Ovis aries: one gene and its partner. The protein of the gene in region 1 interacts with the protein of each later gene in a pairwise test. Links are inferred from orthologs where the notes say so. Each region holds a gene or a part of one and is shown on either strand. Other genes may lie near its edges.

What was found.
Region 2: the proteins of MTUS2 (region 1) and CCDC198 interact in binary tests that used the Homo sapiens proteins (3 or more experiments, as listed by UniProt). The two-hybrid records come from large-scale screens. The link is inferred for Ovis aries from reciprocal best matches to the Homo sapiens genes MTUS2 and CCDC198.

Annotation. Positions count from the first base shown.
Region 1 is NC_056063.1:31,672,825-31,680,711, forward strand, and holds the start of MTUS2 (microtubule-associated tumor suppressor candidate 2), read right to left. Parts: upstream 4,241-7,887; 5' UTR 4,084-4,240; intron 3,069-4,083; exon of another isoform or gene 2,916-3,068; intron 1-2,915. UniProt on the Homo sapiens protein: Binds microtubules. Together with MAPRE1 may target the microtubule depolymerase KIF2C to the plus-end of microtubules. May regulate the dynamics of microtubules at their growing distal tip.
Region 2 is NC_056060.1:67,896,393-67,904,314, reverse strand, and holds the start of CCDC198 (uncharacterized protein CCDC198), read left to right. Parts: upstream 1-3,060; 5' UTR 3,061-3,201; coding exon 3,202-3,424; intron 3,425-6,157; coding exon 6,158-6,240; exon of another isoform or gene 6,241-6,245; coding exon of another isoform or gene 6,246-6,287; intron 6,288-7,922. UniProt on the Homo sapiens protein: May be involved in tuning the metabolism, energy expenditure, and excretion processes.

The DNA of each region.
Region 1 (7,887 bases):
CAACACACGTCTTCTGATTAGTACACAAGGGAGCGGCCATCCGAGCACACAGGAGCCTCACCAGCCAATGAGCGCTCGCCCCTTCTCAAACCCTAACCAACCCCAACACCTTCAGACCCCAGAGTTTCTCTGGGGTTCAGTTTCACCTCCAAAGTTGCTCTAAGTTCTTGATATCCCTGAAGAAAGAGCCATGGAGTTCCCAGTGTCAGCATTCTTCACTTAACCACTTGTTCCAAGGGAACTGCAGGAATCTGGGCTGAAATGAGACTCTCCTGCCAGCTCCCCTCCTACAAGCCAGTGGGAACCATCAGCGAAGACACACAACCTCCCCTCTACTCCTGGTTTATGTAGTGGTGTGGACTGGACTCCAGCTGCCATGCGAGGCCCTCAGCCGTACCTGATCCCAAACCAACACACCACCCAAGGCCCAAGAGGAACACAACCTCACGTCACCAAAGAGGAGGGTTCCAGGGCAGGTCTGAGAAATCACCGCAACAGAATTAGAGGGGTGGGTGCTATTGTGGGGAAGCTCTGGCCATGAGCCTGCCGACAGCACCAGGCCCCCCTCATAAGCCCCAGCACAGTTCCAGAAGCCAAACTAAAGTGTGGTCAAAGGGCGTGTCTTTGTGGAGGGATGGATGGATGGATGTTTGGATGGGTAGATGGACAGGTGCATGAGTGGGCAACAGGTGGGTAAGTGGATGGATGGGTGGGTAGGTGATGGGTGGGTAGTTGGATGGATAAATGAGTGGATGGATGGGTGGGTGGGTGATAGGTGGGAAGCTAGATGGATGAATGGGTAGGTGGGTGAATAGATGGGTGGGTGGGTGGTTAGGTAGGCAGGTAAATGGGGTGGGTGGGTGGATGGACAAATAAGTGGGTGGAAGGGGTACGAGGGTTGGTGGGAAGGGGTCAAGATGGTAAGATCTGAGAAATCTTAATTCAGATATGAAGTAGAAATACTTCAGAGAAAAGGAAAACTCTCCACCCATGTCAACAACCCCCTCTCAAACATTCCTGCGGTGGACATTACAGTCTTCCATTTATCCATAAAACTGCTAATAGGAGTACGTCAGCCATTCATCTCAGCCCTTCCCAGCCTGCACTTGTTTCCTGCAGGATATTTTCCAGGCCTGAGTTTGCTCCCTGTTTAGAATTCATATTAAAGGCAGAGCCTAAGGAGTTTGCAGGAAGGTCTCCTATGGAGCTGATGCTATCTGTTGCTATTAACTTTATTAATGAGGCAGCTTTTGGTAGTTTATTTTTTTCTCCCTTTCCCCTCTGCAGCCATCTCTCTGAGATGTAGAAGAGCTTTAACCCACTTTCTTTCCTTACCCGCCTCCGTCTCAGCTTTTCTCTGCCTCTGGCTCACACCGAGATCCAAAAAAGTCCCTGTGTGTGTGTGCTCACAAGGCAGAGCTGTTTCTCCAGGTAACCACCGGATTCCTGATAATACCACTCAGCCCTGCTATTAGCAATCTGCATTTTCTCGGCAGCTCAGCTACAATATTGGCCAGATTTTTTTTTTTTTTTTGTCTTTTCATAAGACTTCAGATGTTGAAATAAGAAAAAGCATTTTTGAAAGTTAACATTTGAACATTAATTAGGAAACGGGAGATTCAGGGTTTGTAGAGCCTTACATTTATATGACGTATGGGAGGTGAGAGGCAGAGAGTGTCTTCCTTATTAAAAAAAAAAAAAATCCACAATTACAAATGCAAACTTCTGTGGCCAGGAGAGCACGCTGCCAGTGTCCCTCCCGGGGGCTTGGATGGAGCCAGAGTAAGGGCCCCTGAAGCTTAACATTCATTAGCTTCCCCGTCAAGGCGCCTCTGCTGGGAGACACAAAAGGCTAGAGAGGTTAATACGGCAGCATTAAAATCTCCAGAAAACCGCTAAGCAGAACTGTCGTCTCTTACATCGGTCCTCTGGACGCTGTTCTTATCTCTCTTTCACAAACCTCCATCCCTGCTGTTCCCTCTAATTTGGCAGCAGCGATTCATTATGAAAGCGCCTGTGCTGGGCTGGGCTTGTACATCCTTTCCCTGTTTGGGCTTCTCCCATCCAGCACTGTGTCAATTATGTAATAGCCAAAACAGGGAGTTTCACAGAATACGAAAAGCATAGTCGCAGCTCTTACATAAGCCTTCACAAACCACCCATAAGATCCACCCCTAGACTGCAATATTGGGAAATTACATAAGGTAGAAAGAAAACACTGATTCAGCAGCCAAGTTTATTTCCAAACTTAAAGACAATAAAAGCTTTTTTGCACTTTTTTGGCTAGTCTGTATTCACTTAATGAGTGTTGAATGTGATAGAAAGAATGATCTTTCAATAAATCTTGACCGTCTTTCCATGTAAACAGAAAGGAGTATCTTGACACCACGACTCAACGTCACTGTCACTTCTGCACAGAGAGATGTCCCACTTCCCAACTTAGTCAACAGGGGACCATGTATCCCGATAAACATCAACTACTGGGGGACTTCCCTGGTGGCTCAGTGGTAAAGAACCCAGCTGCCAACGCAGGAGACGCAGGTTGGATCCCTGAGTTGGGAAGATCCCCTGGAGGAGGAAATGGCAACCCACTCCAGTATTCTTGCTTGGGAAATCCCATGGACAGAGGAGTCTGGCGGGCTGCAGTCCATGCAGTTGCACAGAGTCAGACATGATTTAGCAACTAAACAACAATATCAACTACTCCTTGTGGATTTTTTAAAAATCAAGAAGATATTTTGACAAAATACAGACGTGAACATGCTATAATTCTTCAACATATCTCCCTTCCTATACCATTTTTCTCTCCCCATATTTCTAACCACTTGTTTTTTACTTTCTTTAAACCACTGTAGCCACACCTTGGGCTACAAAGTGACAAATTAGAAGAAACAGTGCTATCCTATGGGTCTCACCTCAGCTACAGATTGGAATCACTAGGGAGTTTTTAACATTCCAAATATCACAGCATCACCAAAACCCAATTAGAACAGAACACTGAGGTGCCGGTCACAAAAGGAAGTGCCCAGACATCAGTATACTTGATATTCCTACTTCTGTCTTCTTCCCTGAAAAAAAAAAATATCCATAAACACAAGTAGAGATATTAAAGGTTATCTAAATCTTTAATAACTGGCAGCTCATAATTACTGAGTTTCCATCAGCTATAAAAAATAAAATAAGTCACTAGTTTAAAAGCCACAAAGAATATCTGTGGGATCTTTTTTATTACTATCAATACGTGGTTCAAGAATTTTCACCAAGTCTCTCAAGAGCCTTTACAAAACTGTTCTATTTTTTTAACGTTTTACAATTTTACCTAATGAGTTCAAAGAAAGGGCCCTATGTTATCTTTAAGGCTATCTCCAGCTAAGACCATGTTCATCTTCCAGGAAAGTTTAGGTTTAAAGCAGAAATTGTGGCTCTGACTTCTCTTCACCCTCTCTTCAGAGATGCTCTGGTAATTCCTTTTATAACTTTACCAATGAGCAAATATTTTTTTAAAAAGCACTTATATAACAGAGAGTACAGGCGCCTTTGGTACCCTGCCAAGAGTACTTCTTTCCGTGTTTGTATTTAAAATAGAATGGTAGTAACATCACTTGTGCGCCTGAAATTCCTTCTGTGCACAGGCTCAGAATGAAAAAAAAAGAGAAAAAAAATGGATGTAGCAAACCGCTTCGCTGCTTTACCATTACACAGCTCAAAGGAAATAACACATTCATACTAAATTAAGACGAAGAGGCAGAACAAATTATCCAAAGCTGGGGGTGTTGTTGGGGTGGGGGTGGGGGATAGAGAGGTAGGGATTCGGTTGAACCAACCTACCAGCCCTTCGAAAACAGAGGATGTTTAACCTGACAGCATGCGAAGGTGCCGGAGGAGCTGCAAAAAAAACCTCAGCCGGAGCAGGTGATGCAGGCAAGAAAGAACAAGCGCTCGGATGGCAGAAAAGCCCAAATCAACCCCGCGCCGCCCAGCGCCCCCGCGGCGGGCGCTCCCCGGCTCCGCGCAGGGTCCGAGAGCGCCGGCCCCGGGGCCCCGCCAGACCCGGCCGGACGGGACAGAGGAGATTCCGCTCACCTGGGTGGGAAATAGCCTCGGGAGGTGCCCAGGAAGCCACGCTGCCCTGATGGAGAGGCTCATTGCGGACTGGCTTCCCGCACGCCTCCTCCGCCTCCAGCTCGAGTTTTCCTCTTTGGCGACAGGTCTAGACCCGGCCAAGCGGCCGCGCAGGTCCGCAGACGTGGGTGGGGGGGCCACAAACTTGCGGGGAGAAGCCGGCGGCGGCGGCGGCGCGGGCGGAGGAGGCAGGGGCGCCCCCCGCGCGCGGTCCCCGCCGCCGCCCGCCCACGCCCGCTCGCGCCCCGCGCTCACCCCGCGCCGGCACCGCCCAGGCTCGGAGCGCGGGGAAGGCGGGGTAGCGCGGACCCGGAGGCTGAAGCCCCCCAACGGATGCAGCGGCCGCCCCTCCGGCCGCCTTGCCGGGACAAAGAGAAGCGGCGGAGCGGGATGGGAGGGGGGTGCGGCGAAGCGCGGGCCTCGGAGCGCGCCGCGCAACCCGCGCGCCTGGCCGGAGAGGTGCGGGCGGCGGGGACCGCGCGGGCGGGCGGGCGGAGAGGCGCGCTCCCCGTCCGGGCCTCCCCGAGATGCACACGCCGGGACCCGCGCCCCGCAGCCCCGCAGCCCCGCCGGGGAGGCCGCAGCGCCCTCTGCCGGCCCCGGGGCCGCCGTGCGCGCGGCGTCCTGCTCCGGCTCCGCGCCGCCACGGCCCCCCGACGTCCCGGCGCCCCCGGGGGCAGGGGGCTTCGAGGAGGGGGGGGGGGGGGGTCTGCTCTTCTCCCCTGGGAACAGCTTCCAGTATGAGCTGCAGCAGGAATTGGGACCCAGCACGAGAAACGTGGAGGGCACTGGGACTCCTGATGCAGGAGGGGCCCCAAGTTGACCTCTGGAAAGGTTTGCGAAAAATGCAAGCGTTTCTTTCGAGAATCGGGTTTATCTGTGTCTAATAAACACCAAAGGCGGCTAACACTGGTCGAGGGGGTGCCAGAGAGCCTCTCGGGAATAAATATGTTGATTTATTTCTCAAATAAGTGCTCCCGGCTTCCCTAAGCAGTTCGTGCGGCAGGCTTCAAGAGGTGAGCCAGGTCAGAGAACTTCCGCTGCCTCGGGTTCAAATGTCAGTGGGATAAGCCTTTGCCTTTATAAAAATGAAATGTGGGTGCTTGTCCCCGCCCTAATTAGAAGTGTTTTCTTGGTGGCTCAGTTGGTAAAGAGTCTGCCTGCAATGGGGGAGACCTGGGTTCGATCCCTGGGTCAAGAAGATCCCCTGGAGAACGGAATGGCCACCCACTTAACTATTCTTGCCTAGAGAATTCCAGGGATCTAGGAGCCTGGCAGGCTACAGTCCATGGGATAACAAAGAATTGTACAGGACTGAGCGACTAACACTTTGACTTTCAACTTTTTAGGGGTCTTTGTCCTAACTACCACATTAAGCAGTATTTTACACCAGTTAATATTTGAAGCACCGCCAAACGGTACAGTACTTTTTTCCACACCGTCTTTTAAAATTATTCTAACAGATCTCCTGTCTCCTCGGGAAGAATCTAGGGCAGACTTCATAGCTTTTCCTGTCACTCTCAGCTGTTAATAAACAGTCTGATTCTCTGGTATTAAAAAGTCCAGTACAATCCAAGTCAAAACTGTGGTCTCACTGCACCTGAGCCTGCCTGCCTCCTGCCTCTCCTGCCAGCCCCTAGCTCCCAGTGGGCCCAAAGCTCACAACCTGCCTGGGGAAGGGAAAGGCCGTTTTCTTCTTTGTTCTACCCCTTCCCCTGGCTTCGTGCAGACTGGCTGCTCCAGGATGGCTTGGTGGGGAGCCTGTCCTGGTCCTGGCTTCCAGGTGAGCTTCTCACTGATCCTGCAACTCTGCAGGCATCACGTGTCCAAGCAGGTGGGCCCAGCCGCCTTCCACCCTGTCCATCCAGGTCACGGCCACAGCCGCACACCCTCCTCATTTCCTGGTCACAGGCAGCTTTGACTAGCCTGGCTCTTTGAAGCTTACCATGTAGGAGTCAGGACTTTCTGAGTTCATACATGTCCCCAAACCCCAGCTGATCCCTGCCAACCTTCCCAGGTAGTTCTCCAGACCCCTTTCTTTGCATGAAGTGACTGGTCTGCGCCCTCTCCCTCAGAGCACCCTATAATTCTTGCTGCCAACCTTCTCTCTAATCACTCTCTCCTCTACCTAAATCTCAGTTGAACACAGCAGAACCCTTACTCAGCAAAACCTACAAAGCTATCCCAAGGCCTTTCTTTTAAATGTGGAGACACCTCTCTCTGTGGTGGCCATAGACATGTGCTTCTCACATTTTGAGAGTAACTGATGATGTCACATCTTCAGGTCCGTGGTGGTACTCACCCCTGGGTCACGCCTCACCCTGGCAGTTCCTCCATGCTGGGAGCGCTGGGGTTGGGCCGTTTCTGCCTCATGCAGGACCCATCTACGGGGCAGCCTTAGTTCAGGAACCCCTCTTCATCCTGCCAAGGCTTTCTCAGAACTGCCCCCTGTCTGTAAGTTTGCAACATCTGGTTATTTATATTCAGTCTGACAACCACCATCTTTTCATTTGTAAATATGCTTCATTTAATTACTAAATAACTAGTTTTTAATTATAACCATTATTTTTATAAAGAAAACTGAGTGCCAAAGAATTGATGCTTTTGAACTGTGGTGTTGGAGAAGACTCTTGAGAGTCCCTTGGACTGCAAGGAGATCCAACCAGTCCTTCCTAAAGGAAATCAGTCCTGAATATTCATTGGAAGGACTGATGCTAAAGCTGAAACTCCAATACTTTGGCCACCTGATGCAAAGAACCGACTCATTGGAAAAGACCCTGATGCTGGGAAGGAGAGGAGGCAGGAGGAGAAGGGGGCAACAGAATGAGATGGTTGGATGACATCACCAGCTCAATGGACATGAGTTTGAGTAAACTCTGGGAGTTGGTGATGGATAGGGAGGCCTGGCGTGCTGCAGTCCATGGGGTCGCAAAGAGTCAGACATGACTTAGCAACTGAACTGAACTGAACTGAACCTCTGCTATTTAACTGTGAACTTTCTACTGGTCTTTTTTTTTTTTCAGTATCTTTTCTGCTTCCCTTCGATTGATTAAGGGAAGTTTTCCATTGTTTTATATTTCCTGTTATAAGAATTATACATTCTATTTTTTTCTTCCAGTAATTATTCTTAAGCTTATAATATGAATAGGTAACTGGAAATTCTAAATTTTTATATATCTGTGCTTCTCTTGAACAGTAAAGGGCTTTTGAACTCTTCAATTATCATTTCTCCATCTTACATGACATCATGCAACATTTTAGTTGAATTTTTTCCTCTGAAAATTAGAAGTGTTATTATTATTTTACAGTCAGTTTTTGCTTATTCTTCATTCTTGACTCTCACATCTTCTGGGATCAGTTTCCTTTTTTCTGGAATACATCTGGAATGTATTTCCTTTTTCTGTGTGAATGCCTTTTGCTGATAAATACTTTTGCAGTTTGGCTCCCTAAAGAAGAAAAAGTATAGTCTCTCATTTGTGTCTGACTCTTTGCAGCCCCATGGACTGTAGCCCGCCAGGCTCCTCTGTCAGTAGAATTCTCTAGGCAATACTGGAGTGGATTGCCATTCCCTTCTCCAAGGGATCTTCCAGACCCAGGAAACAAACCTGGGTCTCCTGCATTCTTTACCGTCTGAGCCACAGGGAAGCCCTAAAGATGTCTTTATTTCATTTCCACCTTCACATGATAGTTAACCTGCATCCACAATTCTAGGTTAACAGTCACTTTTTCTTTGGGTTTCCATTGCTCCTGCTGTGAAGTCAATAG
Region 2 (7,922 bases), on another chromosome or scaffold:
GGAGTCGGGGAGGGCCAAGAGAGTGTGGATGACCCTGGGAAGTTTGTCAAAACCACGGCAAGAGCTATCCAATCACAGCCCCACAAACAAAGGTAGGTAATGTCACCACACAAGTAAAAGGAAAAAAAAGCTCTAGTCTTGCTGACTCTGATGAGATACTGTCATGCAAATTGGGCTGGAAAAGACTGTAAGGAAACTTAGAAGGCACCTAACCTGCTCTGTTACCCAACTCAGCCCTCTGTACTCAAAGGCAAAACTGTCTCTTATTAGACAAGAGGAACGGAGAAGGCAATGGCACCCCACTCCAGTACTCTTGCCTGGAAAATCCATGGACGGAGGAGCCTAGTAGGCTGCAGTCGATGGAGTTGCTAAGAGTCGGACACGACTGAGCGACTTCACTTTCACTTTTCACTTTCATGCATTGGAGAAGGAAATGGCAACCCACTCCAGTATTCTTGCCTGGAGAATCCCAGGGACAGGGGAGCCTGGTGGGCTGCTGTCTATGGGGCTGCACAGAGTCAGACACGACTGAAGCGACTTAGCAGCAGCAGCAGACAAGAGGAAAATCCACCTAGTTTCTATAGAATTTAAATCCACTCAACAAGATTCCTTAACAGTTTTGCCCAACTTGAGAGCAAACCAAGAACAAAAGCAGGGATTTCTGGCTGCAAAAAACAGCTCTGCAGCATTTGCTTTCCTTTCCTTCCTGCCTCTGGATCTAAAGGCTGAAGCACAGGTGAGAAGCAGGGCTAACAAGTGCATGGCTCACACCACGCCCTGTGTTCAGAGATCCCAGCACTGGGAGCCTCTGCAAGGAAGCTTCCTGGGGGCTGCATGGTCAGGCTGTCTATGGAGCTGCTCCAAGTTGCAGCTTCCATCCCTCATGTGTGGAAATGGTACACCTAGCTCTTGATCCCTACTCCTCTCCATCTCCTCCAGCACCTCACCATCTTTTCTCTTCTCTGTGCCCTCTGTCTTAATAAAGTTTTCTCTGGGCATTATCTTCAGATTTCTAAAATTTAACCCCTTCTCTGCTTTATCCTATAAATTTTTAAACTTGGATTCTCATTTCATATTCATAAAATTTTAGTACTACATATAATGTACACTATTTTATCATCTTTACACACTATCACTGGCTATTCATAACCAGTCTTGAACTGAGGAAGGGTCATTATATATAAAGTATAGCTGATAGTCTGAGGAGCGGCCAAGGTTTTGTGAATGAGAGTTTTTTGTTTTCCAAATCTCGTTTTTAAGAAATCATATCCTATATATAACTCTATAGGTGAGGTCAAATTCTCCTTTTCCTCTTTTAATGAAATTGAAACTATTTTCACTATCATTCTAAGAAAAAACATATGATAACTTTTAAAATAGATATTAAGCATGCTTGTTTCCTCAGTTAAATGGGTGCGTGCACACTCAATTGTGTCCGACTCTTTGGGACCCCATGGATTGTAGCTCCCCATGTTCTTCTGTCCAAGGATTTATAAACTCCTTTAGACGGGACTAAGTCTACTTTAATGGTTTCTGACCAATGAGTGATAAAGATACAGGCTAATGTTTACTTCAAATCTGCTGTATGTCAGGTACTATTCTAAGAGCTATAAATTAACTCATTCTTCATGATGCAGTTCTATTAACTCCATTTTACAGATGAGAAAACTCAGGCGTGGAATGGTTAAGTAATCTGCATGAGTTACAAAGCTTGGAAGTAGTTAATGATAAATGGAAATAAACATGGCAGGAATCTTCATTTCTTTCACTATTTCCTGAGCAGCTAACCAACTTCCTCTACAAAGGCTCACATTCTCTACAGATATCTCAAAAGTAAACAATAGTAAATCAAAAAAATGAGAACTGAATGGTTCTCACTGGTCCAGATCCATGAAGTCCACAATTTCCAGTATAATTTCTAGTTCATTTGTTAGCTTGCAATACTTTTCCTTGCTTTTAGAAATACTTAAACTAATTGTGTCCAAAAATAAACCTGACTAGATACTGTTCAACTATTTTAACCTTTATAATTAGCTTCTTGTTACCAAAAGTATTGTTTGCAGATACTATTAATATATGATGCTCATGTACAAGTCTTTCTGCCACAGAGAAGATTGTGTATAAAACACAAAGAGAGAAAATTAAACTCAGATTTCTTTTTTGATGAACTCTATTGGCGTATGAGAATTTCCAAACCTACGTTAGCCCCTTAGCAAATGAATTTCACAAAAGTAAAAAAAAATACATACCTTTGAACTTCTCTGTATCCCTGTAGGGATGTGATGAAAACATAAATAATCTGTGGTCATGGACAATTAGAAACTGAAAGTGAGTTCTGCTTCTACATATAAAGAAAGAATAAAATAAAAAATCACCCATAATCCCATTATTCAAAAATCACTATTCAACATTTCAGCACATCTATCTTCAGTCTTTTTTTTTTTTTTCAATTTTTTTTAAACAAAACACATAGGCTATAGCTGAGTTTGCTTTTTTGTCATCACTGTTGTTGTTTATAGTATATCTTTGTCTTTTGCTTGAACTATTTATTCAAGAAGTTTGTCCCCTCATTCCCAGGATTAAAGTGCTACTGTCTCCCTACCCTTCTGTATTCATCTTCTTCAAGGGCAATTCAAATTATTGACAGAAAAATCATTTTAGCTATTCTGCTGTTTCCTATTTGGAAGATAAATTCTTCAATTAAAGTTAAAGATTAACAAAGCCCCTAGGTGATTAGCTCCCAACATTTCCAAAGGTGACTTAGCTCTTCTCAGTTGGTAATTCTTACAGATGATGGCTAAAGGTATGCACAATGAAAGGGTCAAATTGAAGTTCTCTGAACCTCTGCTCTCCATTTCTGTTAACAGCCTTCCTGGTGTTAGAGATCTGTTTAATGATCAATAGTTGTTTCTCTTCCTACCACTGAGTGTTTCAGAAAGTAGCATAACCAAGTCAATGTTTAACTGGATTCTTTGGGTCTGAAATGGCCAAGTAGGAGTTGAAGGGAAGTCTCCATAGAAACCAACCTCCCAGGAAGTGGCCAAAGGGTTAGTGTGAAGTGAAATAAAGCTACGCAGATGTCATGAAGGGAAGAAATACTTTGGAGCTGGGCTAACTTCAGAAGTTCCTTGATTAAAATAAGCCACTTTAAAGGCCCCAAACCACTAACCTCATGGTTTTACAGAGTGTCTTTAATGTGAAATGGGCCTGAGTCACTCTAAGTCTCACCCAAGGGTGACCAAGGTAGTACCTTTGCAAAACAAAGAGGAAGAGACTCCCTTGGGTGGCCCTGTGGATTTTGCATTCACTCAGAATCTGGAAGAAAACAGTTTATACTCATTTGCAAGACTGCAGGACCAGAATAAAGCTTTAGAAGGGCAGTTGCCACCTCTACGAGAGACCTGGTATGGAAGATATTCTGAAGGTAAATGTAAAACCCAGCAAGAAATTTGTGGGTGTGGGCAAAGGAGAGCTACTGATAGATTAATCTGTCTACCTCTATAATCCATGAAGTTTCTTAATTGTTGAAATATAAAGGGACATTTGTCAACAGGAGATAATGTTTGTCTATTTTAAGTATTCTGGGCACGTTAGAATAGGTGTGCGAACTGGGAACTAAGGGCTTTTCATCATTCCACACGAGAAGGAAATAATCATTTGGGGTCAGCTTGGTTTATAGTCCTTTTGATATTTATACCTAGCTTTGCCAGGCAATTAAAATTCTTTTCCAATAGACCTTAGATGTGACAAATACTGTTTCATTCCACTTAAATGAGATGACTATGAGAATAGTCAAATTTATAGTCAGAAAGTACATTGGTAGATGCTAGGGGCCAGGGGGAGAGGTGGGAATGGGGAATTAGTGTTTAATGGGGACAGACTTTCAGTTTAGGAAAGTGAAAAATTTGGGAGATGGATGATGGTGAGAGTTGCACAATAATGTGAATGTACTGAGCTGCATAAATATGGTTTGTATAAATACAGTTAAATATGATTAAAAGAGAATGTTTTATATTATGTGACTTTTACCACAATAAATAAAACAAATTCCATAGATAAAAATGTGATGATTATGATACTCATGCATTTCAGTTGGATTTTAAATGTAAATCAATCTCTCCAGTATCATTTCATGCATCAGGCTTTGTTGTTTTGAAAGCAGTACTAAAGAAATGAATCCATTCTGATGCGCATTTGGAAACCACTCCAAACTGAACTCATTTATTGCAGTACAGATGAGTGGATGGGGCACCCTCTCCCCAGCCCCTGATTCTTCATGATCATTTGCAGAACTAAGAGAATTTTTCCCATTATGATTGGAAGATCCAAGCCAGAAGGGGCTATAAATTTTCCTGTGGCATTTTACAAGATATAAAATATTTTATGACAATCATGATGATACATAAACAGATGATACTTAGACATTCTAATCAGGGAAGAGATACATGCGTATATACATACGTGATATATATACACACATATGTACATTATTTTTTTTCTTCACATTCTGTACTATTATCACAAGTAAGTTCCCATTATTGGCCAGAATATATATATTTTGTGTGTATGTGTGTGTGTATATATATACATGCATTCCTTTTTAGTGCCTAGTAAGTCTTAGATCTAGATCTGGTACCTAGATCTAGAATGATCTTCATGGCTACTTTCTATAGAACTGATAACCTTTGACTGGTTCCATATAGCCTTTTCTTGTTGTTGTTGTTCAACTTTCTAAGCATGTTAGTAGGACTATTCCTCTTAGTCTCACTGAATAATTCATTTTTTATCTAAACCTTCCATCTAGAGTTTTAAGATTTTGATAACCAAAGGGCAAAAGCTGATTCTAATGTGCTAGAGTCTAACTGGGAAATGTTCTTATTTTTGAAATTGCAAAATCACATTAAAAATAAATAACACTGGGATGGTAAGCATTCTGAACACCTTCTTCGAGAGACCCACATTCTAACCCCAGCTTCACCAAATACCAAATAGTATGACTTTAGGCAAGCTGTTTCATCAATTTTCTTCACCTGTTTATCAAAGGTAAAAGCACACATGCCTATACCACTTCAGCAGAAGCAAATTAAATAATAGGGTGATATTACCCAAATCATGGCATAAAAATAAGGTGTAGTCACATTGCTGAAATATATTTTGCTGAAAATATTTACATTTTTAAATCCAACATGTTTTGGGTCTTGCTTGATATCCTGAAATTCTTGAAAGAAAGGAAGGTCATAGAGATATTCTTCAGGTGATCATTCAAAGGTTTTAAGGATAGAAACACACAATTACCCAGGAATTTTTCCATTTAAAATGCAAAGTGGGACTACGGGATAGTCTGCACAACAATCTCAAAGTCAGAATGCATCCAGATTGTTATGAGGAAAGGACAAGGAGGTCATTCACGTAGCATTGGTTATGGTAGCGGTCCCAAGGGCCCAGGCTAATCAAGCTGAAAAATGAAATCCACATGGATCTCTTGAGCTTCTCTGTTTCCTAATGAGCTTCTCTGGATCTTTAACACTGTAGCCCTGGGTTATTTCATCAAGAAGAATATTGATATGTTGTGTTAGAGTGGCAACTTGTGGGAATTCATTTCCCTACTTGCAGTGGGGGAATGGATTATTTAATTGGAAACATTCAATGATAAGCATTCCATATTCCTATTACACACTCAAGTTCCATTTCTTCATCACCTCTCTAATACCTATCCATCTATTAATCTATTTTACCTGAAAAGAGAACTTATTTTCACTTCTTAAAGTTATGTTTTTTTCTGATTTCTATTTACTTGGGAAGGATTTCATAAAATTAAAACAAATCAGTAAGTTTCTATTTTCCAAGCCAAATGCTATGTCTGAATAACATTTCTAGTCAATACATTGTTAATTGTGCAATTATTCCTCTAAATATTAATCAGGGAGGAAATGAGGAAAGCAGAAATTAAATCCTGAGTCTAGGCTAATATTTTATCATTTGCCATTATGTGGGGCCCCTGCTTTACGTCTTTCATCTTCACATTCAACCTATTGGTTAGATATACAGAACTGAAGATACAAAATGGTGTTAACAAAGTCTAACAACTAATAATCAATTTAATGTCATAGGAAATTGCTTTTAATGGTTTGTTTTTGTTTCTCTCCAACCCTTCAAGGGCCAAGGGCCATGTATTTTGACTTCCCACTGGAACAGCAAGAAACAAGTATTATTAAAAGGCATCCACCCCGAAGACTTCAAGTAAGATGCATTTAAAAGGCTTCATAAGGAATTTCTTGGATTTAATGGTAATATCCCTTTTTAACTATAATCATATAAGAGGGATATTGACAATGACTATGCTAATGAGAATGACGGTGTTATTAAAGAGAATGCTGTCAATGCAAACCACATTTCTTTAGGATTTCCTTTTGTAATGATTTCACTTTTAAGACCACCACCAAAGGAAGCAGGTATAGTACCAAAGATATAGGAATGAAGGGACACAAAGGATCTGAATCTTGCACTGATTAATTGAATGACTGTAGGGCAATCATGGTGACATATAACAGTAACAACTACTATAACTAATTACCACCTATACAAGTCTGTTACACTCTAAGCAACAATGATCTTTGTCATTCATTTAATTTTCATACCCCTCAATGAGAAAGGAAGGATTATCCTTGTTTTATACATGTGCTTCAGGGAGTTAAGTAACTTGCCCAAGGACAGAAGGGGCCACATATCAACCAGGCCTCCAAAGCCTGTGCTCTTAAACACTGGCATAGATGATCTCTACAGTCCTTCTATCCTTAACCTTTCATCATTCAAAATATTTAGTTAATGGAATTGAGAACACTGAATTTAAGGCTTCCTACGTGGCACTAGCTGGAGAAGACAATGGCAACCCACTCCAGTACTCTTGCCTGGAGAATCCCATGGACGGAGGAGCCTGGTAGGCTGCAGTCCATGGAGTCTTGAAGAGTTGGACACGACTGAGCGACTTCACTTTCACTTTTCACTTTCGTGCATTGGAGAAGGAAATGGCAACGCACTCCAGTGTTCTTGCCTGGAGAATCCCAGGGATGGCGGAGCCTGGTGGGCTGCCATCTATGGGGTCACCCGGAGTCGGACACGACTGAAGTAACTTAGCAGCAGCAGCAGGTGGCACTAGTGGTAAGAACCTGCCTGCCAATGCAGGAGATGTAAGAGACATAGGTTAGATCCCTGGGTCCAAAAGATCCTCTGGAGGAGGGCATGGCAACCCACCCCAGTATTCTTGCCTGGAGAATCCCATGGACAGAGGAAGCTGGCAGGCTATAGTCCATAGGGTCACAAAGAGTCAAACAAGACTGAAGTGACTTTAACACACTGATTTCAAGGCAGCAAAGCAGGAGTTTTAAATGCATTCACCTTAATAAATATTTAATGAATTCCCTGTAGAGACCTATAAATTTTAAGAACCCTCATCCTAGAAGGGGAAAGAGATCCGTCTGAATGGGTCCTCTGAAGTGAGCATCAGCTAAAAGGAGGGTTTGGAGCTCTCTTGTGAGCAGGATCTATCACTGATATTTGAAAAATGGAATTGGAATCAAACCCCACCTGCTACACAACTCAGTCAGGTCTCTGGACTAATCCTAGGGGTATCTGAGCTCATTTTGGGGGGATATTTCTATTTAAGTTGGTTTTTATTTACCTGTCTTCTCCAGAAGTTCACAATCATTATTTGAGTGATTATATCTTTTGGATACCAAAAAAGGAGGATCTTTTCCCAAAATATTAGAAACCATAAAATATTGTTTAGTCAATGTAAAATAAAGTGCAATTCTATCAAGTTAATATATAATTTTTAACATTTTGGGCATATCTCTACCTAAAGTGGCAATTTTAAAATTTATATTTTGTTTCTAAATCATTATAAATCAAAGGCCTCCTTTCAA